Linked DNA regions of Astyanax mexicanus. The main gene of each other region encodes a partner of the protein of the gene in region 4 in a complex. Links are inferred from orthologs where the notes say so. Each region holds a gene or a part of one and is shown on either strand. Other genes may lie near its edges.

The links.
Region 1: exosome complex component RRP40 (region 4) and exosc4 share a complex: the UniProt entries of both Homo sapiens proteins name them as parts of the RNA exosome core complex. The link is inferred for Astyanax mexicanus from reciprocal best matches to the Homo sapiens genes EXOSC3 and EXOSC4.
Region 2: exosome complex component RRP40 (region 4) and exosc2 share a complex: the UniProt entries of both Homo sapiens proteins name them as parts of the RNA exosome core complex. The link is inferred for Astyanax mexicanus from reciprocal best matches to the Homo sapiens genes EXOSC3 and EXOSC2.
Region 3: exosome complex component RRP40 (region 4) and exosc6 share a complex: the UniProt entries of both Homo sapiens proteins name them as parts of the RNA exosome core complex. The link is inferred for Astyanax mexicanus from reciprocal best matches to the Homo sapiens genes EXOSC3 and EXOSC6.

Annotation. Positions count from the first base shown.
Region 1 is NC_064415.1:9,898,937-9,906,713, forward strand, and holds the start of exosc4 (exosome complex component RRP41), read right to left. Parts: upstream 3,002-7,777; 5' UTR 2,942-3,001; coding exon 2,771-2,941; intron 1,457-2,770; coding exon 1,250-1,456; intron 1-1,249. UniProt on the Homo sapiens protein: Non-catalytic component of the RNA exosome complex which has 3'->5' exoribonuclease activity and participates in a multitude of cellular RNA processing and degradation events.
Region 2 is NC_064408.1:20,987,630-20,994,471, reverse strand, and holds the start of exosc2 (exosome complex component RRP4), read left to right. Parts: upstream 1-3,825; 5' UTR 3,826-3,891; coding exon 3,892-4,019; intron 4,020-5,426; coding exon 5,427-5,528; intron 5,529-5,610; coding exon 5,611-5,656; intron 5,657-5,807; coding exon 5,808-5,897; intron 5,898-6,002; coding exon 6,003-6,068; intron 6,069-6,170; coding exon 6,171-6,239; intron 6,240-6,578; coding exon 6,579-6,755; intron 6,756-6,842. UniProt on the Homo sapiens protein: Non-catalytic component of the RNA exosome complex which has 3'->5' exoribonuclease activity and participates in a multitude of cellular RNA processing and degradation events.
Region 3 is NW_026040053.1:743,252-750,064, reverse strand, and holds exosc6 (exosome complex component MTR3), read right to left. Parts: upstream 1,922-6,813; 5' UTR 1,667-1,921; coding exon 851-1,666; 3' UTR 515-850; downstream 1-514. Other genes in the region: slc38a8b (putative sodium-coupled neutral amino acid transporter 8), read left to right, coding at 4,974-5,171. UniProt on the Homo sapiens protein: Non-catalytic component of the RNA exosome complex which has 3'->5' exoribonuclease activity and participates in a multitude of cellular RNA processing and degradation events.
Region 4 is NC_064409.1:67,969,492-67,976,438, forward strand, and holds the start of exosome complex component RRP40, read right to left. Parts: upstream 3,026-6,947; 5' UTR 2,962-3,025; coding exon 2,734-2,961; intron 1,312-2,733; coding exon 1,162-1,311; intron 901-1,161; coding exon 749-900; intron 1-748. Other genes in the region: uridine diphosphate glucose pyrophosphatase NUDT22, read left to right, coding at 4,543-4,694. UniProt on the Homo sapiens protein: Non-catalytic component of the RNA exosome complex which has 3'->5' exoribonuclease activity and participates in a multitude of cellular RNA processing and degradation events.

The DNA.
Region 1 (7,777 bases), on a different chromosome or scaffold from region 4:
AACATGAGATCATTTTCACAGTTTCAAGTCCTAAAAGTAAATTATATTTTGTCATTTATTATTAAGGACCAATATTACATATTTGTGAGTGGCAAAAGTATGTGAACCTCTAGGATAAGCAGTTACTTTAAAGGTGAAATCAGGTGAGAGTGGGCAGAGCCTGTTCTATGTACAGAACTGGGATCTATTAACCTCTTGAGACCCAGTGTCCTCATATGTGGACATTACAGTTCTGCTTCTCTGCACCAAGCTTTTTTAAAACATTGACCCTTTGGCCTCATATGGAGACACTGCCCGTACCATAAAGTGGACTCAACATGACAACATTACACTAAATTGGTTGAAAACCAATCGGCGGGAAGCCCAGTCAAAGGTTTTTACAGCCATTCCAGACAGAAACATGGGCCAGGTAAAAATTATCCTCCACTTTTATGTTTGAAATTAGTTTATTCTATTTTTGTAGAAAGCTAACATTTAGCTGTTGCACTAATCTTGTCCTTCTGATCCCAAATTGAAAGGGTCTTTTTTAAATGTTAAAATTTAGCAAAAATGACTTCCTGTACAAGGACAAAGTTTAGTATTTATACTTTTTAGGTCCTAGTAATCCCAAATACCTAGGAGAAAGTAAAAAATGTCAGGCTTATGTCCAGGCCTCAGGAGGATATAGTCAGCTCTTCACATTACATGTTTGTGGAAGTGTATAGTGGTACGAACAAAGGAGATTCCTAAAGACCTCAGAAAAAGAGCTGTAGATGCTCATTAGTCTAGAAAAGTTACAAAACCACATCTAAAGAGGCTGGACTGCAGCAATCCACAGTAAAACAGATTATAGTGTACAAATGAAGGAAGTTCAAAACCATTGTTACTCTCCCCAAAAAATAGTCTACCAACAAAGACCACTCCAAGAGGTCACAAAGGACCCCAAGATAACTCCTAAGAAACCGAAGGCCTCTCTCATGTTGACTCATGTTTAACTGAATGGTGCAGATAAATTACTGCCTCATAAATGAGGAGCAAATAACACAATATGATATATCTCCTGAACCAGGAATGAACACCAATGACGTTAGTCACGCGATTTGACCAGCTCAACCAAGGTTCCTTTAATCGTGATCCAGGTGCCCCACTGTCCTGCAAATGTACTGCTTTCCCGGTTCCCTTCCCTCGACTCTTTTAGATGTGCAGTGGGTGTGTTGTATTTATTTAGCCATGTTGGGTAGTAGAAGCTGAAGCAGGAAATGTACCGTACTTTAACGTAGATGTCGATCTGGGAGCGTGGGTAGAGCTGGGTGAGGACAGCAGCCTCGAAGGTCTGTTTCAGATGGAGACTCATCTCACTGGACTTGCGGTCGCCGTGCGGCCGGCGCTTCCTCTCCGCAGTGCTGAACGTGGCCATGCTGTACTGGCAGTTGATGACGGCGCGGTCGTGCAGGGTCCTGCTGCGGGACCCTCTGACCTGTAAGTACACACTGATCAATACATGTTACATGTAGGAGACCCTACACACACATCTCACAGTTCAGTGCAGTGTCATTTAGCTTCCATTTTTTGTTGATTTTTAGTTTAATTTATAATTTTAGCACACACACTGTCTTCTACACTGCATCAAAAATCCTTGAAGAATGAATTAATAGAAAGTCTCGTAAAATACCTGAAATAAATTATTTTACATTACCAAGTGAACCTGGCTGCACTACTACAATGGGTCAAAACTGGTCAAGCTACATTAAAATTAATTGATTTAAGCTAATTCTTTATTATTATTATTATTTTAATTAGTTTCAACAGGTATATTTATTTAAAAAAAGAAAAGACAGTTCAAAGCTGTGACCAGTCTATGTAAAGACCAGTTAGCTAAATAAATGTGAAACCATAAAATGTAAAGCCAAAATATGTGAAAAGTTTTGGTAGAAAAACTTGGTTAAAAATTAAAATGTAAAGTAAATAAATGTTACATTTATTTCTAGTTACACTGGGGGTGTCTAGTAGAGCTGCAACGATTAGTTGATATAATCGACAATGTCGATTATTTATATTTGTCGACTACAAATTTCATTGTGGACTAATCTACTAAAAATTAGTACTTTCCACATTTAAACAACATTTGAATGTTTATATATCTTTTAGATCTCATACTCAGCTGTTTCTATAATTAAATATAATATATAGTTATAAAATAAGACAGAGAATGTGGCAGAAATAATCGTTGACTAATCGAAAAAATAATCATCAGATTAGTCGACTACCAAAATAATCATCAGTTGCAGCCCTACTGTCTAGTCCCTCTTAGGTATAAAGCTATAAATGTGTAATCAGAATTCCCATGTTGATGCATCCCTATAACATGTGTCTATACAAATATTAGACCGCCTTCTAAAGGTGACATGAGGGGTCCTGAGTATTAGAGGACAATAATAAAGTATACAATGAAACAGGTACAGAACTACAGTCTGTAATTATAGAACTACAAAATGCTATATATTGTATAAACAGTGGAGCTGCAAAAATGGACAGTTTTTTGTGCAGAAACAAAAAGGTGGTCATAATCTCATAATGTTATGCTTGGTTGGTGTAGGTGCACTATATCTATATGGACAGAAGTGTTGGGACTCCAGCACATTACAATTAAAGCACTATAACTGCAATTCCATCTTTAGTTATTATAATATAAAGTTTAGTACAGTACTGTTCTATTTACTCTATACCCCCTTTCCCCTGCTGTAAGTTACCCCCCCGGGCTGTAGTTACCCCTGCCCCGGGCACTCCTCACCTCGTGCGGGCCGTACACCACCGCCAGCGCCTTGGTGTTTCCCTGCTCCAGGTAGGCCGACCCGTCCGCCTGAGCGAACACCCCCATCCGGGCCTGCAGCTTCCGCAGCTCCGCCGCCCTGCGCCCGTCCAGCCGGTACCCCTGATCCGACAGCAGCTCCAGACCCGCCATGATCACTCCCGCACACACAACACGTGTTCCCGCACTACGGGTCCCCGCACAGCCCAAAACACCGACTACTGACCGCACACCGAACGCCCCCTGCCGGCCGAGCTCCCCCTTACCATATATATGTACATATATATAAAAAGTAAAAGTACATATTTAACGTAAATCAAAATTTTAACAAATGTGTACAGTTTTTAGCACATTATTTTACCAAACTATATATAAATGGCAAGTAGGCTGCACTGTCAATGTTCTCCAATTTATAAAAGATAGATATATAATATAAATATCACAATTTATGTTTAATTTAAGCTGCATACATTCTACATAAAAAAAATATAAATATGAAACAATCAAGAGAAAAACAAACAAACAAGAAATTGTATATGTATGCAACCTTGCTCATAAATATTTTCCTTAAAAAAAAAAAAAAAAAAAAAAACATCTGGGTTGCTTGCACAGTATGTTTTGGGTCATTCCAGTCAGTTTTGTTGCATTTGGCTGAATCTGAGCTAAAAATAAAAACCCTGTAACTTCAGAACTCCTCATTCTGCTTGTCTTCCGTCACACCAAAATCAATATTTGGTGGAATAACCCTGGTTTTTATTCACAGTTTTCATGCATCTTGGCATGTTCTCCTCCACTAGTCTTACACACTGCTTTTGGATAACTTTATGCTGCTTTACTCCTGGTGCAAAAATTCAAGCAGTTCAGTTTGGTTTGATGGCTTGTGATCATCCATCTTCCTCTTGATTCTTGGAAAAGATATTTTCAGAAAATTTTAATATGAATAATTATTATTCTGAGAAATAAATTAATAAAGTTTTGTCTTTAGTCATGCTGGGAAGTCAACAGTAAATCACAATGAAAACATTTTTTTTTTTTTTTTTTTATCCTTGGCTCAAACTGCATTATCCACCCAAAGTGCACATTACTGTTATTAGAACATAGAGACGTCAGAATAAAACATACCATGCAATTTTAAAAATAAAATTTATTAGCATCTCTAATGTGTATAAATAAAAACAGAGATAAGAAACAAATGCATGTACGCATTATGAGCAGAACAAGAAGAACTGAATTATGTGATACAGAGGAGCCGAGGCCGACTGAGGCCCCAGTCAGGTTTTTATAATCCTTTCTTCAGAACGTTAAGTGTGTCTGTGAGAATGTACCTCAGAAAATCAGGCTTCGCAAACCATACGAATCCCTACGAGCTGCAGCTCTACATTCTGTCAGCAGAAAGAAATGAGGACTGAGGTTCAGCAGCAGAATCAGGGGCACACTGGGGTGCAGTGGTGGGGGGCAATTAAATTGAACAGTTTTAGAGTTTAGGTTTTGGACGAACTCTAAAAAAACACAAAACCACAGGTTTTACACTGACATGCCAAAAGTCAGGGGATAGCATTATGTAAAATAATGCTTTGAAAATGCCCACAAATTAATAAATAAAAAAAAATGTCCATTCAAACAGACTTAAATTGACTCCAGCAGAAATCACATTCACATTCGATTCAGAAGACCCCACACACATATCCCACAGTTCGGAGTAGTTTTGGACAGGTCAAAAGTCATGGGAATATTATTTACCATTCCATTACACTTGGCATGTCAGTGTAAATCAATAATCACTATCCAAGAAACAAAGCACATCTCCAAAACATCGACTTAACAGAAGAAGGAAAAACTTTAGTCCTACTTTGTAATAAGTGTCTCTAATACCTGTGTGGTTACACATTAACAACCATGTAATAATAATGATAAAAGATTAATTGCAGTTGTACAGGTTATGTAATTACATGTATATCAGTGCCAGTTAGACATAGATTAATATTTTGTCCTACTGTCCTTAAATTAATCTAATTAATGATATTGGAAATGTTGGAAAACTGGTGTATTTGATGTGGTGCAGTGGATAACACCACCACCTGCCACTGAGCTACCATGTAGGAGACTGGGGTTCAATTCCAGGTCTGGGTGACTATGCTGTGCTACACCAATAAGTCCTTGGGCAAGACTCCTAACACTACATTGGTCCACCTCCAACTTCACTCCGGATAAAAGAATCCGCTAAAGGCCATAAATGTAAAACGAGTTACACATAAATAGTAATTAAATTACTAATTACCAGACAATACCTGGAGAAATATAAATATATTCACATATTCCAAACACATTATCACATGTGATAATTTACACAAATTATGACATGTAATTTCACTTGCCCTATTAAAACACAAATTGTAAAAAAATGACTATAAACACACATCCAGTTACATAACCGGTACAAATATAATAATTCTGTACCGTTTTGTGGTACAGAGTGTGTGGTTACATAGTATGATATTCCATAACTGTTAATGTGTAACTACATGTGTAATGTGTAACACTTATTATAAAGAGATGCCAAAACATTTCTTAGCTTTTAATGAAAGTCAGTGTAACAGCATTTCATTCTAACCCATTTGGCGCAATTCTATTGGTCCGTTTATCATGGAGGGTTCACACAATGTAAAGGTATACAAGAAAAAGCTGCCGGTTCCAAACAATGCAAAAAAAATAGTATATAAGATTTTGTTTTTTGGACAGTGATTTGTAGGTTTTAAACTTGTTTAGCATTTTTTTTCTCCAAATAATCAGATCTTTAAAAGTGATTAAACATTGTTTTTTTTGTGTAATACCATTAAAATGCTAGTATAAAGAACCATTCTGAGATCTGTTTTTATCCACCAAAAATGGTTCTTTGATTCATCAGGAAGCAAAAGTGGTTCTTTTATGGTATTGCACAAAAAAAGTCAGTAAAATTATTAATTTAAAACTTTAAATAAATATATTCCTAGTAATGCTGTAGTAATCCAATCAGATATTTAGATATCATGTATTCATCTTAAACCCTGTTTACACCTGGTCACATCATGTGGCGAGTATCCAACACCTACAAGTGCATTTATTACATTATTTTAAATAACTAAGTTTGAAATGTGAAACTCATATATTATATAGACGTATTACACACAGAGTGATCTATTTTAATCATTTATTTCTTGTTTTGTTGATGAGAATGTCTTACAGCCAAAGAAAACCCAAAATTCAGTATCTCAGAAAATTGGAATATTATATAAGACCAACTGGTACTTTTGGCAGTGTGCAAAGTCCTGCTGGAAAACGAAATCCAAATCTTACAGCACTGCATGGTTTCCCCTCTGCTGATGCTTTTATGGAGGTGCAGATTTTATTTTCCAGCAGGACTTGGCACACTGCCCAATAAGATCAACTGGTCTTGTATAATATTCTAATTTTCTGAGATAGAAGTGTTGGAAGTGTTTCTGAAGTGGTTTGAGTTATACGATTTGTATCTGTTTATAGTTTGCTTGTGTCCAGATATAATTCTAATATTTAAATTCTATGAAATGACCAGGTGTAAACAGTCTTTCTGTGCATTAACTTAAACAGTCTCCTTCTTTTAAAGTAAAACGAATTAGTACAATACTTATATGACTCCAATATAACAGGGTATCTCTAATTATGTTGGCTCAGTAGTGTTTGGCTTTCTAAGGCAAACATGGAAGTAGACCTGCCACGATAATCACAATTACTGACTTATCAATGTATTATTACATGGAAATTACCTCAAAACATATTGCATACTGTAATATGGTCCATTACCTTTACTTGTGTGTTTGCTGTGTTTGTTGAAGAATGAACACAAACAGAAATTGAGCCAGCTTTAACTTTTAACTTAAAATCTGGAAGATCTCCAAATCTATTAAGAATTATTAATAAATAGTTCTATTGCAATGTTATGATATAATATCCATATATCAGTGGCATATGGTAGTCTGAAAATTCCAACAATATAGTTTAGCTCAATTACTTTCAACAATATAGAACAATTAAGCATACCATTATGACCACAACTTGTTTCTACACCTATTATCCATCTTATCAGCTCCACTAATCAAACAGGACACTTTGTAGTTCTATAATAATTACAGACTGTATTTCTGTTATTTAATACTCAGAACCCACACAAAAGAAAACCACCACAGAGCAGCTATTATTATTAGTATTATTATTATTATTATTTGGGTGGTGGGTCATTATTATTCTCAGCACTGCAGTGATTAGCGCTGATTAGCATGGTGGTGGTAGTGTATGAGGCATTAGTAGTGCGTGTTGTGTTGGTACAGTGAGTAAATCAGATGCAGCAGTGCTGCTGGAGTTTTTAAACATCTCAATGCAGTCATCTTCTTGTGAACACTGATGAACCACTAGATAAAAACCAACACTGTAAACTGTGTAGCAACAGCTTCAGAGCTTCTGTCTCTGACTTTACTTTATCTAGAAGGTGGAGCAGCTGTAGGCAAGTGTGTGAACAGAATGTTTAAAAACTCAAGCAGCACTGCTGCTGTACCTGATCCACTCACTGTACCATCAGCACAACACACACTACTAACACCTCATACACCACCTTCACCATGCTAATCAGTGCTAATCACTGCAGTGCTGAGAAAAATCAATGCACAATACACAATTAATAATAGTAATAGCTGATCTGTGGTGTTTTTCTCTACTGTAGGGTCCTGCGTATTGAAGAACAGGTTAAAAAGAGGTGTATAAAGTGTCCTATATGATCATGGGAGCTGTAAAAAACCAAGAAGGTAGTCATAATTATATAATATATGTTTGATTTGTGTGTTATCATGACAGGCCTACATAACTTTTCCACCTCCCACTGCCACCCACAGCTCTATAGTTTTGGTCAGATCTGAAAATCTCCCACTGTCTGAAGTAAACCTCTTTAAAACCTGACAGCATAAAAGGAACAAATAGAATAGA
Region 2 (6,842 bases), on a different chromosome or scaffold from region 4:
ACCAGGGAAATCATCACATGCTGTAATTATTCCACGTGAAGTTTAAACAGTCATATGCTAAAATTTTATCCCCTCTGGGCAAAGTACTGTACATGGAAAATAATGGATTTTATGCCAAAAAAATCTCAGCTCAAAAAACTAAATAAAAAACTTCAACTCTACAGTAGAAGGAACATTCTTCTTATCATACAATGAAAATCATGTATTAAACACCTTTGTTCCTAATAAAAAAAGTAATTTAATAATATAAGATAAGCCTTTATTAATCACACAGTGGTAATATTTGCAATGTTACAGAAGTGCAGAAAACAATTAATACTGAAGACATCAGAACTTTAAAGGAACACCTTTTAAACTTTGAAACGATTTAGTGTCGGAATTTCACATATGAAGGAATGTTAAATAAAGGTGGTTTTAATGCAACCAAAAATGTATGTTTATTTAATGTTCCTTGTATCAGGGCTGGTTTACAAGTGGAGGCCACATCTATGTTCAATACATACCAGGTGCTGGTCAACGAATTAGAATAATTTGAAATAGTGAAATCATGACATTTTTTGAATGCATTTTTTGTGCAGAAAGCAAATCAGGTGTTCACCGCACCTGTCCTACTCGTTAGACTAATCACAGAACTCGTTACCTGGAAAAAAATTTGCTCAGCTGAGCTTTCCAAAAGGCCCATTTAGGCCATTTAACTGTGACACTGTTGTTTTATTGAATTAGAATAATGGACAAACCGTTTCATTGAATTAGAATAAATGCTCGAATTTTTGTTTTCTGTGAAGAGTGTTCACTGTGCAGTATAAAGTCAGGGTTGAGTAGAATTTCTAAGTTGTAAAATCAATCATGGGTAAGCAGCGTGACCTCTCAACCGGAATAGTGGCTCAAATTCAAGCCCTTCGCCAACAAGGCTTGACCCAAACTAAAATTGCTGAGCAGCTCGGCATCAGCCAGTCTTCCGTCTGCAAAGCTCTCAAGAAAAACTGCAGCAAGCGCACCAACTGTTCCGGCGTCCGAAAAACTTCTGCTCGCGACAACAAGCAGCTGAGAAAGATCGCAGTCAGCAACCGGTTCAAGTCCACTCCCGAGCTCACCGACTTGTGGAACAAGCAGACCGGCGCTGACGTCTCCAGATCAACCACTTACCGTCGTCTGCGCGAACTCGGCTTCAAATCTCGCGTTCCAGCAGTAAAACTGATGCTGAACAAGAAACAAATGGAGAAACGGCTGAAGTGGGCCAAAGAACACGGCGAGTGGACTGCTGAAGACTGGCAGAAAGTGGTCTTCAGTGACGAATCACGCTTCTGCATCTCCTTCGGTGACCAAGGTCCTCGTGTCTGGCGTCGTGGTGGCGAAACCTACAACCACGAGTGCGTGAAAAGATCCGTCAAGTTTCCCCAGAGCGTTATGGTCTGGGGATGCATGTCCGCTCGAGGTGTAGGGAAACTCTGCTTCCTCAAGAAGACTGTCAATGCTGCCGTATATCAAGATGTTCTGGAAACGTTCCTGATTCCGACTGTTGAGGAACAGTTCGGCGAAGAAGACTTCATATTTCAACAGGATCTTGCACCGGCTCATGCGGCAAAGTCGACCAAAGATTGGTTCACTAAAAAACAGCTTGAAGTTTTGGCATGGCCGGCCAACTCGCCTGACCTCAATGTCATTGAAAACCTTTGGGCCATTGTCAAGCGGAAAATTCGCGACAGAAAGCCTACTACGCTGGACCAACTGAAGCAGAACATCGCCACTGCCTGGGAAGCTGTGAGTGCGGAAACTTGCGACAAGCTGGTCAAATCGATGCCGCGGAGACTTCAGGCAGTCATACAAGCCAAGGGGGCAGCCACAAAATACTGAGAAAGTGATGATTGTAATTATAATAAAAATTATTCTAATTCAATGAAACGGTTTGTCCATTATTCTAATTCAATAAAACAACAGTGCCACAGTTAAATGGCCTAAATGGGCCTTTTGGAAAGCTCAGCTGAGCAAATTTTTTTCCAGGTAACGAGTTCTGTGATTAGTCTATCGAGTAGGACAGGTGCGGTGAACACCTGATTTGCTTTCTGCACAAAAAATGCATTCAAAAAATTTCATGATTGCACTATTTCAAATTATTCTAATTCGTTGACCAGCACCTGTATATGGTGAATATGGTGCTGTTTTTACCTTTATTTATCTTTTATTATTTTATTATTATACAATCTATATTTTGTTGTAAAAAGGTTTTAAATAATTGTAATGCTTGTAAATGCTTTTAGGAATATAATAATCTTATCTGTATTACTTTTTAAAGCAATAGTTTGTCAGTGCATTAGCTGCTGTGCTGTGACATATGTTGATGTAAAAAGGGCTATGAAATTAATTTATTTGAAAACAGACTCAGTTTGCCAGACAGGGGTTAAGCCTAGTGTTTGATTATAGAACGTTTTAAATTTAAATGTTCTGCTAAATGCTTACTGACTCAGTTTAACACATGTTGGGGGAAACACAGCTCTACAGCCCCCTCTAGCGCCACACAGAAAAATCACGTTTTAAGACAGGACAGTGTATTTGGATAGTGAATGTGTCCTTTGTGTACATTATAATGTAAAGGGTAAAGGACACTTGCTTCTCATTATATGTGTCTACACTATATATATATATATATATATATATATATATATATATATATATATATATATATATATATATATATATATATATATATATATATATAAATAAAAACATTAAATGAGAACGAGTGACCAAATATATGAATGGTACTGTAGTATAAGTTGCATACAGTTGTACAGGTATGTGTGCTCTGTTTATTTCAATAGGGTTTATATAAGCTGAAGTGTTTTTCTTTCTTGTTATGGGTTTGTGTTTAAACCCAAAAACATTTTTTTTGACTTTTAATGATTGTTTAGAAATAATTTTTAATTTTGAGATCTGTAGCTAGAATTGTACACTGCACTCTGTGGGGGCACCAAAGCCTAAAGTGCCTTCCACTGTTACACCCACCTCCCCAAGCACAGATTCTATTATTCACGTGGGCTGAATGTTAATATATAAGTGCTTGGCCTTAATTTGGCCTCTTTTAAATAGTCTTAGACATTGATTTGAGATATTTTTTTGTAATTTTGCAGGCTGCCAATTGTTTTTACACAGTATGCCCTTTCAGAAAATCTGTAGATTACATTTTACTATTAGGGTACTTATAGTGCACTTTTAGTGCATTATTAGTGTACAGTACAAGTCAAAAGTTTGGACACACCTTCACATTCGATGTTTTTCTTTATTTAATGTATTATCTACATTGTAGATTAATATTAAAGACATGAAAACAATTAAAGGGCACGTATGGAATTATGTAGTTAATAAAAAAATTGTTTGTCCTCCACAATCCCCTCATCTAAACGTGATTAACTGAGATGGTGATTTTGGATGAGCTGCCTGGAGCTTTAGCAAATATTGTTCAGCGTCGTTAGGAACTCTTTTAACACGCTGAGAAAACAATTTCAAGTGACTCTACGTCATGAAGATACTGAGATTAAAATATTAAGAGTGTGCAGATCTGTCCTCAAAGCATTTTCTGGTTTGTTTAACACTTTTTGGTTTCCAGAATAATTCTGCATGTGTTCCTGTATAGCTTTAAATTGTCTTCAATATTACAATTTTACAAAAAAAAAAAGGTGTGTCCACATGTTAGACTGGTCATGTATTTTGTGCTAAAATGCTGTTGGTTTTGGTATTAGTCCTCGTAGCTTGTGCTTGTTCTATGGTTTCTGGCGGAGTCCCTCTTTATACCAGCAGTGGCCACACGTGGCAGGAGTCTCCCAGTCTGTAGATGTTGGTGTTTCAGAGAAGAAGAGCTCAGCCATTTTAGAAAACACAGCTCTGTGGGACAGCATGGCTGTGGATATGAGATTACCCACTGCCCGAAAACTCATCTCCCTGCCCGGCTCTCTGTCTAACGCTGAGGGTAAACACCTGGTGGTCCCGGGAGATGTGATCACATCTGATACAGGGTTTATGAGGTAAATATGCGCTTAAACAAACCTGCAGGAGGACCACAGGTCTGATCTGACTAGCCTGCTATCCCTACATTAACTAACCTAACCAGGCTAAATTAACTAATATCTGTGTTTTTGCTTCGGTGTCACTGTCTGTTCACCAGCTAAGAGTTAAGATAAGTAACGTGTGTGGCCTGTACCAGTAGCTCGACTGAGAAACACAAACATTTATTTTGTGTATGGGTTCAGTGTTGGCCCCACATATGGATGTTAGTTAGTGATGGGACCAGGCAGGAGGGGATTGGTCAGTGTAAGTTAACGTTTAGCAGTTTAATTTTCTGACCGTATCAAGCTAAATTCAAAAATACAAAATTGAGTATAAAACCTTTTTTTCCATTTAGCATAGTGAAGAAGAAATGTGTTTTGGTCAGTGTTACGTTTATTAGTTAAATTTTCTGACCGTTATAGGCTAAATGCAAAAAAATAGAAAATTGCAAGTAAGAACTCATTAATTCTTTTTTTTAAGTGTAGTGTACAAGAAATAAGTTTTCATACATTTTTCCAATGTTAGTTTTTTAATCTTTGCCCCTTACAATTATAATTTCAGGAAAAAAAAATCTTTTATTTTTAATTTTTTGCATTTTGCAAGTTGGATTATAACATCAGATTTGTGTTACATGATACAAAAATGGACAAATCTGAAAATCGAGAGAAGATTTAACTTTTTATTTTCTTGAAATTCTGTTTGCGAAAGGCTGAAATAAAAAAAAACTCAATAATTGAAAAATGGGATGCAAATCTATTTCTTTTCAGCAAATTAAATTGCTAAACGTTACACTGACCTATTTTTATCTTTTTTTTTCAATTATCTTGTTTTTGTTTTGGCTTTTTCACAACTGTACATTTTATTACAGAGAGTGTTAATAATGTAAAAATAAAAAAAATGTTAAAATCCTGTTTATTAGATGATGTGCCGCAAAAGCAAAAAAAAATCTATTCAATTGAATTATGTGCAACAAAAATTACTGTATTATGCATGAAAGATTATCTGAACAGCAGAATCTTTCTCTGCTGATGCATTTTGTCTGCCTGTTAAAATATGATTATTACTGTTTTTTGTAATACAATATTTTTATTTTTTATTTAAACAGTGTCAGTATATCACCATGCTTACTTTATTGCAATATATTAATGATATTCAGTGATATTGAATCATAACCCCTAGATCAGGCCTGGGCTTTTTAAGGCTGGGGTAGTGGGCCTTTTCATACAAAGCCCTTCACTTATTACGCATCAGTACTGCTTGGGTGGTAAAAACAATAAGAACAACAATAACCCATTTTTTAACCCCCGGTCCACTTTTTAACGCATGTGAATGCATACTTTTTTACGTAAATGTTATGTACTTAATTTCTCACTTCCTGTCTTCAGGGGTCATGGAACCTACATGGATGATGAGAAGCTCACAGCCTCAGTGGCTGGGGAGGTTGAACGTGTCAACAAGCTGATCTGTGTGAAGCCACTGAAGACACGGTCAGTGGTCTTCTGAATGCTGTGTCTAAAACATTACAATTAACATGTATAAGATTTAATATTCTTTGGGTGTTTTTTACAGGTTCAATGGTGAAGTTGGTGATGTGGTGGTTGGCAGGATAACAGAGGTACTATGTTTATGTTTAGAGTTCTCAAAATTCTTACATTCTTTCATACATTTTTAGAAGCACTGTAATTTTAAAATTAGTCATAAGCCTCATCCCTCACAGAAATAAGCAACATTCTTCTCAATCATCTTTACCTATTCTTTCACTGTAGGTTCAGCAGAAACGTTGGAAAGTGGAGACCAACTCTCGGTTGGACTCTGTATTGCTTCTGTCCTCAGTAAATCTTCCAGGAGGAGAGTTGGTGAGCTTAAATACTGATTTAATAATGTTTTTATATAAAAATATTGCATTGTTGTTTGAGTTGCGTTGAGCTGTAATAAATACTGTAAACCCTATTTATTCACAGAGGAGGCGATCAGCAGAAGATGAGCTCACCATGAGAGATTATCTTCAAGAAGGGGACCTCATCAGTGTATCCTGAAAGTAGTGATTGTTTTAAAATAGTGAAATTATGTAATTAAATAAGACTGTGTTATTTTTGATTATGTAGAAAATTTAACTTAACTTGTTCAAGGCAGAGGTACAGTCCGTCTTTTCAGATGGAGCTCTTTCGCTTCACACCCGCAGCTTGAAGTATGGCAAGGTACGAACAACAATTCTTCAGTATGATTTTATGAAACTCAACTGAGAAATATTGATTGAAAAAAATATTGATTTTATAATTTATTGTTTGCTCAAGTCAGTGTAATTGTAGGTACTGTTGAGAGCTTACTTTCATTTTGATAAAAGAAAAATGGACATTAATGCAAAGTTAAAATTTACAGCTCAGGTGCCCATTTATGAATGTAGCTTTAGCTTTTAGAAGAAGTTAATTGACAGGTATATGTTTACCTATTTAAAAAGAAGGTTTAAAATGCATCTTAATATTTGCGACAGTGATATTTCAGTTTACTTGGCCTGATTTGTGTTTTTCCATTCTTAGTTGGGACAGGGTGTACTGGTGCAAGTATCACCATCTCTTGTGAAGAGACAGAAAACCCATTTCCACAATCTGCCCTGTGGAGCTTCCATAATCCTGGGGAACAATGGCTTCCTTTGGCTGTACCCTACACCAGGGCATCAAGATGAAGAGGCAGGAGGATACTACACAAGCCTGGAGGTCAGGAGAACATGATTTTATTAATGGTTGAAAACATAATTTTTTTTCAGCATGTTTTATACTGTGTTTAGAAGTCCATCTGTGTTC
Region 3 (6,813 bases), on a different chromosome or scaffold from region 4:
TGAAGAGGATAAAATTCTCCTAAATAATCAAATACAAGCAATTACGCATTTACTGGTGTTTAAATTTCACACAATTTAACAACCAATATTCTTCACCGCAGTAAAAATTAAAATGTATTATAGTAGATCTAAAATGAATCTGTCACACAATCTGAATTAACTCTGAGCTGATGTTTTTGTAGCTCAGAATAGATTGTTTCCATCAATAAACGTATATTTTATTATATTAATTATGTATTGCAAACAATATTTTATCCAACCCCTAGTGCCCAACTCTTGCTGTAGTCCCACCAGAACCTGAACCAGAACCAGAACCTGAACCAGAACCTGAACCAGAACCTTGGTTAAACTGGTTCAGATAAATCAGGAAAAATAATTTCAAACTTAAATGTCACATTATAGAATATGCTTAATGATGTCACTATTGCACATGTACACATTATAATAACAGTGCTAAACAGCCGTAAGAGAAACCTGTGGTGTAAGAAAATAAGACTGTCTGAATACTTTTACATATTTTTTAAGTATTTTATTGTTACACAGCTTTTACATAAATGTAAAAACTATTTTCTAGTGATATAAAATACAAACATAATAAACCATTTTTGATTCAAACTATTTTTGATTCGGTGCATCCTCACTATTCTCACACAGAAAACTCGTATCTCCAAAACAACTTTCAGTGGAAGGGAATGTTTAAAAAAAAAAAAAAAAACATTTTATTTAAAGTTATTTGAAGCATTTCTATTGGTTCACAGTGTGAACAACAAGAATTGCTGCCGCCAGTCATGTGATGCATAAACCGGTTCCGACCCTGCAGTGTAAACAGGTTTATTATGGTATATACGAATTATTTCTCAGGGGGCGGGGCTTTTCTCTTCACGGCCCGCAGGATGGCCTGCTGCACCACCGGATACAGTTTATGGCAGCTCTCCATGCACGTGCGCACGGCGGCGCTCAGCGTGTCCGCGCGCAGCTCCCCGTCCGCGTGCAGTCCCGACACCTGGTTCAGGTTGGGCAGGAGCGCGAGCGTCACGCCGCCCCGGTTCTCTTCGTAGCCCGCGAGCCAGTTGCCCCGCTCCTCCGCGAGGTCCGGGTCCACCAGGCTCGCGCCGCCGTCCTGCCGCAGCGCGGAGCCCAGGACCACGTCGTACATCTCGATACCGGCGTCCGCGAGCGCCATGGAGGCGCAGGTCACCGCGTGCGCCAGAACCGAGCCGTCATTCTCCAGAACCATCACGTTCACCTCGATCTGCGCGCGCGGGTACCGGTGCAGGCACACGGCGGGGTGCAGGCTCTCGGAGAGCGCGAGCGACAGGTCCCGCTCCCCGCTGCCCTGGATCCACGCGCCGCGCTTCCCGCAGGAGAACGGCGCGAGCCGCAGGTCGCACAGCAGGCGGCCGCTCCGCACCCCGGCCTCGTCCCGCCGCTCCGGCTCGCGCGGCCCGTAAACCGAGCACAGGATCTTAGTGTTCCCCGCTTCCAGGTAGCTCGAGCCCTTCGCCTGGCTCACGAGACCGCAGCGCGCGAACACCGGCCGCACCTCTCCGTTCCCGCGGCCCGCGCGCGGCTCCCGGGGCTCCGCGGTCTGCGCGGCGGGGGGCAGAAACAGCAGCGGGCACTGAGACTCCTCCGGTCCGCGCACGCGCTTCGTATCTACCGGCATTCTGGCTATTACACGGGGCTCACGCGCTCCTCCACCGCGTGCGCGACTACAAACAAACCCACGCAACACCGCTCTTCTTCTTCTGGGTTTGTTTTTTGGCAGACTGCAATCTCAGCGCATTACCGCCACCTGCTGGACTGAGGTGTAATCTCACCGGGATACCGGTCAATTCTCCCGTTTTGACCGGAAAACTACCGTATTTTACCCCTCTCTCCCCCCGTCCTCCCGGATAATGTTTTCCGTAAATTTTCTGTATTATATTTAAAAAAAACAAAAAAAACATTTATATGCCCCTCCAAACTGAAATGTCACTAATCTCGCGAGATTAGTGCCGACAGCGGAAACAACCCTGAAACAACCAATCAGAGAGATGGGAAGGAGAGAAAGCATTCCTGCCAAAAAACACCACACTATGAAAATACATACTCATACATACTGTACATATATAAAATATTATTCATACTCCTTCTGACTGCAGAAAATACTATTAATCACAAAAAATAATATTCAACTAAAAAGACTGTATATTAATATATATAATAATATTATTAGACATATTATATCATTGTACTATGATATTGAACCTTGGTTGGGCTGGTATGCCCAATAATAAAATAAAATAATAAAAACATACTAAAGTCTTCTTGCAAGTGTTTTTTATAAACTCTATGATTACTTTGACTGTAGTCTCTACCACTTAAACTCTAAGTTGTTATTGTAGTTCTTTCTTATCCTCTTGAGACGTTCTCTCTCTCTTTAGAGTAATTCCTGTATGTAAACAGCGCACGCTTTACGGTTTCAGTTTATTATAGTATGAACACCGGTCTCATGTTCTCCTAATCTTATCCTGGAGTGAACTGAATTAGCTGACTGTTATTACTCTTGTTTACTGTATAAATACCTGCTTTTCTCATCCTTATCCCATTTGTCTCGCCAGATTTTATGATCCCCGTGTTTGATTATTGCTTTAATTCTAATTTGCTGGAACCTGTACTTCTGCTTGTTTTGATTTCTGAGTTTCATTTTCCACTCGTCTGTTTTCTCATTTCCCTGTGTGCTGGAGCCCAGGTGAACTGTAAATTTAAAATTTGTTGACTTATTCTATAAATCATCTGGACTGTGCGTCAGGTTAAAAAAATTAACTAAACAAACAAAAACAAACAAAAAATAATAAAAATAACAATAGTAATAATAATAACAATAATAATGATAATATTAAAAAAAACGAATCCTGTCAATTAGTCCCGCATTTTTCAAGAAACTACTCAAGTATTTCAAACAGACCTGTATTTAACTTTATTACCTTCAGACTGAACTGAGTGAGTTTTTCCTCTGGTAGTGCAGTCAGTCTCTGTGTTTTCTATGTTGTGTTTAGAACACTGATAAACACACGTCCCGTCAGTATGATTATTTATATAATATAATGCGCTGTAGAGTCCTGTGTGTTCTGTAGGCGCTTTCTATTAAATACATCCTCCACCTGCTCACTCTGTCCTGTAACCCCGCCCCTTCCAACTTCATTCTCAATACTGTAGTAATAATAATAAATGTCCTGTATTCCGTGTTCTACAGGTGTTGCCATTTTCAACTGACTGTAAATTTGTATTAAAACTACTTTTCCAGCAAATTCCAGAAATAAACAAATAAAATGACCTGTATATTATATTTATATTTTTATATTTTTACACAGTAAAAGAGAGCTGACTTGTTGGTGAGCTGATGCTGGTTTCCTCACACAGAACTAAATGTACTGTTTTAATTGATCTTAAAGCTTTTAAACTCCAGTATAATAAACTCTATTAATCTCGTAAGCAGTGCTGCACTTCTATTATCTGATCTGTTTACTTTATATTAAAATACTTAATTTTATTTTATAAAATTAAAGGAATGTCCTGGACAAGCAGTTAATTACTATGTTTTATCATTTAGCTCCATTTAGCCACATTCCACATAGCCACAATAATTTTCCAAAGCAAATCAGAATATATTTACAGTGGCTTCCAAAAGTATTCATACCCTTTAAACTTTTCCACATTTTCTCTCCTTAAATACACAAACTTGATAAACCATCATAAAGTAATGCATACATGTGAAGTGAAATGAAAATGATACATGTTTTTTTGAATGTTTTATCAAATAAAAATCTAAAAGGGTGGCGTGCAAAAGTATTCATCCCCCTATATCAATACTTAGTAGAGACACTTTTCTCTGAAGTTACAGCTTCAGGTTTTTCAGGGTTTAGTCTCTACCAGCTTTAATCATCTAGAGACTGTAGACTTTAACTGGATCATTCTAACACATGAATATTCTCTGATTCTCTGATATGCTGCAACTGCAAACAGCAATTCTTGTTTCTTTTAACAATGTTTTTCTTCTTCCACTCTTCCATAAAGATCAGATTTGTGGAGAGCAGGACTTATAGTTGTTCTGTGAACAGATTCTCCTGATCTGTGGATCTCTGCAGCTCCTCCAGAGTGATCATGGGTCTCGGCTGCTTCTCTGATCAGTGCTCTCCTTGCTGGATCTGTTAGTTTGGGTGGATGGTTGGTTCATGTCTTTGTAGGTTTGTTGAAACAGTAGTAGAATATATGTTTTTGGGAGATGTTTTTATAATCTAACTCTGCTTTAAACTTCTTCTCCAAAACTTTATCTCTGATCTGTCTGCTGAGTTCTTCCTTCTTGGTCTTCATGATGCTGTTTGTTCACTAGTGTTCACTAATAAACCACTGAGCTCTTCACAGAACAGCTGTATTTATACTGAGACTAAATTACACACAGCTGGATTATTAACTCTATTAATATTATTTATTATCTATTATTAGTTGGAGTTGGACAGTAAAGACAGTTACTCCAATAAAAGCAGGATAAACTGTGTTTAATAGTCTCGGTTTTAGAAGAGACAGGGAGTGATCACCCCTATAGTGCACTATAGTGTACACTCTGGCACGTGGTCAGTTAGTTGACGCGGGTGTGTTATAGTGTCAGGTGACCCCGGGCACGGAGCGGGCACGTGCTCACAGGTCTGGCATCTTCAAAGCGCGCGCCGGGCTCACATACCTGTGCTACATGTCTCACACAGGTGAGACATTTTAAAGTGGGTCTTAATGGAGCGCGCGCCGGGCTCGCGCCGCTTATCCATCAGACTCAGACCCGCCGTGTCAGATCTCCGTTATCTCCACGGAGGAAGAGGAGCCCCGTGCGCGCGTGCTGTCTGTCCTTCCCCGTGTGCGCGTGCTGTCCGTTCTGCTCCGTGCGCGCGTGCTGTCCGTCCTGCTCCGTGCGCGTGCGGTTTGGAGCGCGAGTCACTATGGAGGAACTGGCGCGCGAGAGCATCCGCAGCCTGAGCGTGCTGGCCAAACCCGCGCGCGGTACGGAGGCTCCGCGGCTCGGTTCGTTCGGCGCCGTGTTCATCATGCTGAAATCCGCGCTCGGAGCCGGACTGCTCAACTTCCCCTGGGCCTTTCAGAGAGCGGGGGGCATCAACCGAGCTATCACCGTGGAACTGGTAATCACACAAACACACACTATACACACTATACACACACACACACACAATCCAGACTGAACTTCTCCAATGCAGGAGACACACGCACACACACACACACACACACTATACACACTATACACACAAACACACATATATGTGCATATACACATACACAAACATAAACATAATGGGAATATTTAAATTATACCACCATTAGTACCGACCCTGCGATGTGATTGGCTAAGAGCCGTTCTATGAGTACCGTTATCAGCCGGTAATGCACTGTAACCGAAGCTCTTCATGTATTACTCCGCCACATACAGGTAACCTAGCAGCGATGCAGCGCTTACAAACCAAACAGCACAGCTACAAACAGAGCAGCAATGGAACTATTTTAACTGGTGGAGTTTTTTTTATAACCAAACAAATCCTATTATCCAATAGCAATGCAATGTTTAATATTTATAGGAAAAACAGAAACATACATGGAGTTGGGGTTGATTTATCTTTTAATGAATTTAAAGTCTTATGTTTGTAAATTCAGGATATGATAGATAAATCTTCAGATAGGAAAAGAGGATTATATTTTCTTGGTAATATAAACATTTACTGGTTGTTTTAATGTCTTGTCCAACTAAAAATAGGTGGTTTAACACATTAAAACAATGTGACATAAAACAAGCGGTAAATGTACAAACAGTCTACATGTCTTTATCATTACAGGAGAAATATATTTACAATATAATTCAGCCTCCACTGAAATTAGACCATGATGCAGATCTATAGTAGGAATCTGTTCATTACATAAAGACTGCAGGAGTGTGTGTGTGTGTGTGTGTGTATAATGTGTGTATAAAGAGTGTGTGTGTTTACTGTGTCAGACTTTCGTACTGTGGTGAGAAAGTGATGGTGTTTCTCACAGTTTACCACTAATGACTCTCTCTCTCTCTCTCTCTTTATTAGTTAAATACAATAAGCTTTATTGTCCATGTTTAATAGTGTGGCCAAAGCATTAATACAACACAAGTGAACTTTCTGAACATTAAGGAATACAGATAACCAAAATTAAATACATAAACATTAAATCAATTTAATACTGATAAACCATTTGAACAGCTTTACAAACATAAAAAACTAAAATAAATAATAATAATAATAATAGAAATAATACAGTTTTTCCACATTTTATAAACACAAAATATGAAACTATGCACACAAATCCAAAAACATGAAGCTCATGTGTCACATTGTGACTCCAAACTGCTCAACTCTAAACTCAATTCCACATGTTCTCACTCAGATATCATCATAAATCACAGCTTTACTAATCACTAAACACAAACTGCAGCATTTAGCACAGCTTCATCACCTGAGAATCACTGACCTTCAAATACATACATAATAAATACATTTCTGTTTCCTCTGTGTATGTGAACTGATTTTTCTCATCATGTTTCTTATTGTTCTTACATTAGTGAAAATTACAGTTTTACAACCGAACTACAAACAGTAAAAACAGCTCGTATTTGTGCTGCATATACATGTAGTACTGTAATGCTATATGGGGGGTCCTACCCTTTATAGAATAGACCGTTATGACAAATTGTATCAAAAGCTTTTTTAAAATCAATAAAACAAATATTTTCGTTATGATCTGTTT
Region 4 (6,947 bases):
ATTATTATTATTATTATTTTTAATAATAATTTTGCCACCAAGTTTGACTCCAACTTTCACTGTAATCTGCTGTAATGTGTGCAATACCAAACACTTCCTGAGATTTTCATACTCAGTGAAATAAGTTCTAATGAAGAAATCCTTACAACCAAGCGGAGATGTTTACCCGTACAATAAAATAAAAAATAAAAAAAGGTTTTTATTTAAAGGTTTTTCCTCTATACAATTTGTCATACATTTTTTATTTCAGCGTCCCACGTTGACTTTATCTCCCCTCAAACATACAAGTATACAATAATTTTAATTAACACCACTAATATTAATTTAATAGCATTTTACATTTCTAACATTCATTCTTCTATTTACATTCAAATGTATATATATATATATATATATATATATATATATATATATATATATATATATATATATATATATATATTCTTTACAAATAAGGTAAATTATTGCTTTTTTAAACATTTAAATAGACATAATAGCTTTGAATTCTTATGCATATTTTTACAGAAAATGGCAAATTCATTTAAAGATTGTGTTTATCTACGCAGTACAAAAAACACCATGTTATCTGGCTTTAAGAAAACTTCTGTGTATGAAACAGACTTTGATTAGAATGCTGAATGTTGCAGGATTTAGACTGAATGCTAAGCAGAAGATTTCTGATGTATTTTTCTTGTCTTTTGTGTACAGCATTATCATCGTATTTTTAGGCTGCTGGCACTCTGCATACCTGCGTACTAATCCCAGAGAAACCTTGAAGAGAAGCCCGTCCGCTCCAAATACTCCCATCCCATTGGCCCGCCCACAGCTATCTATGCACACAAGCTCCGGCTCCATGTCTTTGTTGGCAATAGTGAACTGTGCATAAACCAGATCTCCAACCTATAAAGCACAGAAACAAACAGTCAGACAAACTAAATGAGCTGCAATAATTAAATAACAATATCTGTTATAAAAAAATATCTGTTTCTGTGGGATACATTAGTTGGATTAGGTGAGTTTGGCACAATGAAAACACATGAAAAATGTGGGCGTCCAGGACCAAGCTTAAGAAATACTAGTTTGGACTATGTTGGGCTACTGATTTTGCTATAAACACACAGTGTAAGCAGTGAAGCATGCTTTTTTCAAAAGGTACTGTACCTGCACATTGGGTCTGTTCCTCTTGGTGGCTCCTTCAAACGCTAGGTAGGACAGAGATGCCTGCTCACTGCCTCCAACATCCACTTTAAAGATGTCTCCAGACTTTGCAGTCACTATTCCAATCACACTCTCGCCCTTAACTGGAACATACTGGAGAAAATGATCAGTTAAAAGATTTAGCATGTACAGTATATACACAACAGTTATATTGTTCCAGTCAAAATTTGGACACACCTCTTCTCATTTAATGTGTTTTCATTCTTTTTACGATTTTCTTTACATTGTAAATTTAATATTGAAGACATTAAAGCTATATAGAATCACATATGTTTTAAACTTTAGATTCTTCTAAGTAGGCTCATTTTGCTTTGAGGACAGATCTGCACATTCTTGGCATTTTAATCTCAGTGTCTTCACTGAGGACGGTGTTCCTGGAGATTGGGTTGGGTTGAGGTGAGGGGATTGTTTACTGTGTAATTTCACATGTCCCTCTTAATTGTTTTCATGTATTTAATATTAATCTATGATGTATAAAATAAATATTAGAAAAATAAATATAGAAAAACATTAAATGAGAAGGTGTGTCTAAACATATGTTTTGATACTGTACTACAGTTATATATATTACAGTACAGTAAAGTAATACAGCTCTAAAAAAAAAAAAAAGAGACCACTTCAGTTGCTGAATCAATTTCTCTGATTTTGTATATGGTTAATGTTTGAGAAAAATACACACTGTTTTATTCCACAAACAACATTTCTCCCAAAATTCAAATAAAAATATTGTCATTTAGAGCATTTATTGAGAAATGAGAAATGGCTGAAACAACAACAAGATGCAGAGCTTGCAGACCTCAAATAATGCAAAGAAAACACGTTCATATTCATAAAGTTTTAAGAGTTCAGATATCAATATTTGGTGGAATAACCCTGGTTTTTATTTACAGTTTTCATGCATCTTGGCATGTATTCCTCCACCAGTCTTACACAATGCTTTCGGATAAGTTTATGCCACTACTGGTGCAAAAAAATCAAACACTTTATACATAGGTTTAACATCCATATTCCACTTGAATATATTGCAGAGGTTTTTAATCTGTTAAAATCAAAGAAACTAATAAGCAATAATTGTTAAGTGCTCTCTTATTTTCTTCCTCAGAGCTGTACGTAAGAATCTGTAGTCAGACCTTTTTTCAAAACTAAAAACCCAGCCAACTCCAGAATAGTTTTTGCTGGTAGCTGTTTTCAGATGGTCTAAGCTGGTCTTTGATGGTGAATGAGGTTAAGAGATGTTGGTCATCCAGGTTGATCAAGCTTGATCATACTGTTGACCTGACTAGTTAGCTTGTTTAGGTTGATGATGCTTGTAGTCCAGCTAAACAATCTAACTCAAATAGAATCACACCCCCATACTGATACTGATACTGGTCAGAATCGAATCTGGACAACAAGGAATTTCCGACCAGAAGCTGGGTGTGGAGCTTCGGCTGTGAAACTGAATAAATTCACATGTCAGCAGAACACACAGATAGACTGACAGCATGTGTGTGAGCTGGGGTTTGTTAAGGTTACCCTCTTCTGCTGGGAGTCTATCCAGTACAAGTTGGGGGCTTTATGGCGGAGAATCCCACTTTTGTACACCAGGATTTCGTCCCCGTTCCTCCGCAGCCCCGGACCGCAGATCACCCGCTCCGCCCGCACAGCGCTGCCCTCCACCGCGGACACGTCGAAGCAGAACACGTCCCCAGGTAAGATCACCTGCCCTAGCTTCTCTCTGAAACAGGAGTAAACCGCCTCCATACTCACACAGGGCTCCTGCACATGTGCGAGTACTGACAACACCACACACACTCTTCCGGTACAGCGCAGGAAACAGCATTACAATATAAAAGTCCCCCTCAGACAACACACACAGCCCCCTCTGTTCACTGTAAAAAAAATACTGTAGTTCTTAAAAATGTCATAAATCCAATAATTTTTGTTTGAATCACACTTTTTTCTGTTTGTCTGTTTAGGTTTGTTGTTTGTTTGTGTTTTTGTTTTGATGTGTTTGTGATGTTGATTGTATATGCTGTGAATTTGACCTATTATTATTGCATGCTCTTGGATTGTATTGTATAGTTTTTTTTTTGTTTTAAATATAAATAAGATTTTTTTTAGAAAATAATGCACAGCTCTGGAACAAATGAGACCACTTAAAAATGTAGTTACTTTGATTTTACTAAATTGAAAACCTCAATGTAATCAAGATAACAAGCCATCATACCAAGCTTAAGTTATCCAAAAGCAGTGTGTAAGACTGGGGGAGGAGTGCATGCGAAGATGCATGAAAACTGTGATTAAAAACCATTTTTTAATATATATTTTTTGGTTTCAAATACAATTAAGATTTTTTTGTATATTATGTACAGCTCTGGAAAACATAAGAAACCACTTAAAAATACGAGTTTCTTTGATTTTAGCAAATTGAAAACCTCTGGAATATAATCAAAAGGAAGATGGATGATCACAAGCCATTAAACCAAGCTGAACTTCTTGCATTTTCGCACCAGGAGTGGAACAAAGTTATCCAAAAGCAGTGTGTAAGACTGGTGGAGGAGTGCATGCGAAGATGCATGAAAACCGTAATTAAAAAACAGGTTTATTCCAGCAAATATTAAAACTTTATGAATATGATTTTTTTTATTTGCATTATTTGAGGTGTGAAAGTTCTGCATCTTTTTTTTTTTTTTTGTTATTTCAGCCATTTCTCATTTTCTGCAAATAAATGCTCTAAATGACAATATTTTTATTTGGAATTTGGGAGGAATTGTGTTTCTAGAATAAAACAACAATGTTCATTTTGCTCAAACATATACCTATAAATAGCTAAATCAGAGAAACTGATTCTGAAAATGAAGTGGTCTCTTCATTTTTTCCTGAGCTGTATAATGGTGTTACACAAATATCCTTAAATATAGCCCGATCAAAAGTTTCAGGACATCCCTGACCGAGTAATACACAACAAGAAACAACTCACCAGGGTATTGGACGGTTGTCGGTTGATTTTAGCCAATCACTGTAAAGTAGGCGGGACTTGTCGGAATATAGGTGGGGATACAACTAGAAAACTACAAAGCTGCAGTTCCTTGTTCAGGTGTTTCCTGTCTTTTTTAACTCTGTTTCTCACTGTGCTGTGTTGTGTAATATCAGAGCAGTGAGCACCAACAGCTCATCTAGCTGCAGGTTTAGCCCTGGACCATGGGTTTCTTTACAGCCGGGGGATGATTATGAAGGTTACGTTAATTTAGTTAGCTAGTTGTAACTAGCCGGCTAGCATTTCTGAACTAGCATATCTGTAGCAGCTGAGCTGAGCTAGCCCGGTGTGTTCAGTGCGTTTAGATGGATGCCGCTCTGTCAGAGGGTGCAGAAGATCCTGACACGTATAAGAAACATCATAAACACCCCATGGATCCAGAGGTCTCTGTGATGCTGCACTGTGCTCCCTCTCAGGGTCTGGAAGAACATCAGATCCGAGCAGAGATATCGACCAGGTACCCCTTCTGTATTCCTGCTCAGTAGATAACTCAGCATTTCTCACACACCACACAAATCTCACAGCTCAACACCTATTACTAACAAGGGCCAATATTCAGTGTAATGTGCTTTAATCTCAAAATAACAAGGTAGTATCTGACAATTATGACTTACTACCTCAAAACAATGCGCATCTCAAAATAAGGACTTACTATCTCAAAGTTACAAGGTAGTATCTGACAATTATGACATATTGCCTCAAAAGAATGAGCATCTCAAAATAAGGACTTAGTATCTCCAAATAAACAAGTAAGTATCTGACAATTATATGATGTACTACCTCAAAATAATGGGCATCTAAAAATAAGGACGTAGTATCTCAAAATAAACAAGGAAGTATATGACAATTATGACTTACTATCTCAAAATAAACAAGGAAGTATATGACAATTATGACTTACTATCTCAAAATAATGAGCATCTAAAAATAAGGACATAGTATATCAAAATAAACAAGGAAGTATCTGACGATTATGATGTACTACCTCAAAACAATGCACATCTCAAAATAAGGACTTACTATCTCAAAGTTACAAGGTAGTATCTGACAATTATGACATATTGCCTCAAAAGAATGAGCATCTAAAAATAAGGACTTACTATCTCAAAAGAAACAAGGAAGTATCTGACACTTATGACTTGCTATCTCAAAATAATGAGCATCTCAAAATAAGGACTAAGTATCTCAAAATTACAAGGTAGTATCTGACAATTATGACATATTGCCTCAAAAGAATGAGCATCTAAAAATAAGGACTTACTATCTCAAAATAAACAAGGTAGTATCTGACAATTATGACTTACTATCTCAAAATAATGAGCATCTAAAAATAAGGACTTACTATCTCAAAATAAACAAGGTAGTATCTGACAATTATGACTTACTATCTCAAAATAATGAGCATCTAAAAATAAGGACTTACTATCTCAAAATAAACAAGGAAGTATCTGACGATTATGATGTACTACCTCAAAGCAATGAGCATCTAAAAATAAGGACTTACTATCTCAAAATAAACAAGGAAGTATCTGACGATTATGATGTACTACCTCAAAGCAATGAGCATCTAAAAATAAGGACTTACTATCTCAAAATAAACAAGGTAGTATCTGACAATTATGACTTGCTATCTCAAAATAATGAGCATCTCAAAATAAGGACTTAGTATCTCAAAATTACAAGGTAGTATCTGACAATTATGACATATTGCCTCAAAATAATGAGCATCTCAAAATAAGGACTTACTATCTCAAAGTTGCAAGGTAGTATCTGACAATTATGACTTGCTATCTCAAAATAATGAGCATCTAAAAATAAGGACTTACTATCTCAAAATAAACAAGGAAGTATCTGACGATTATGATGTACTACCTCAAAGCAATGAGCATCTAAAAATAAGGACTTACTATCTCAAAATAAACAAGGTAGTATCTGACAATTATGACTTGCTATCTCAAAATAATGAGCATCTCAAAATAAGGACTAAGTATCTCAAAATTACAAGGTAGTATCTGACAATTATGACATATTGCCTCAAAAGAATGAGCATCTAAAAATAAGGACTTACTATCTCAAAATAAACAAGGTAGTATCTGACAATTATGACTTACTATCTCAAAATAATGAGCATCTAAAAATAAGGACTTACTATCTCAAAATAAACAAGGTAGTATCTGACAATTATGACTTACTATCTCAAAATAATGAGCATCTAAAAATAAGGACTTACTATCTCAAAATAAACAAGGAAGTATCTGACGATTATGATGTACTACCTCAAAGCAATGAGCATCTAAAAATAAGGACTTACTATCTCAAAATTACAAGGTAGTATCTGACAATTATGACATATTGCCTCAAAATAATGAGCATCTCAAAATAAGGACTTACTATCTCAAAGTTACAAGGTAGTATCTGACAATTATGACTTGCTATCTCAAAATAATGAGCATCTAAAAATAAGGACTTACTATCTCAAAATAAACAAGGTAGTATCTGACAATTATGACTTACTATCTCAAAATAATGAGCATCTAAAAATAAGGACTTACTATCTCAAAATAAACAAGGAAGTATCTGACGATTATGATGTACTACCTCAAAGCAATGAGCATCTAAAAATAAGGACTTAGTATCTCAAAATTACAAGGTAGTATCTGACAATTATGACATATTGCCTCAAAATAATGAGCATCTCAAAATAAGGACT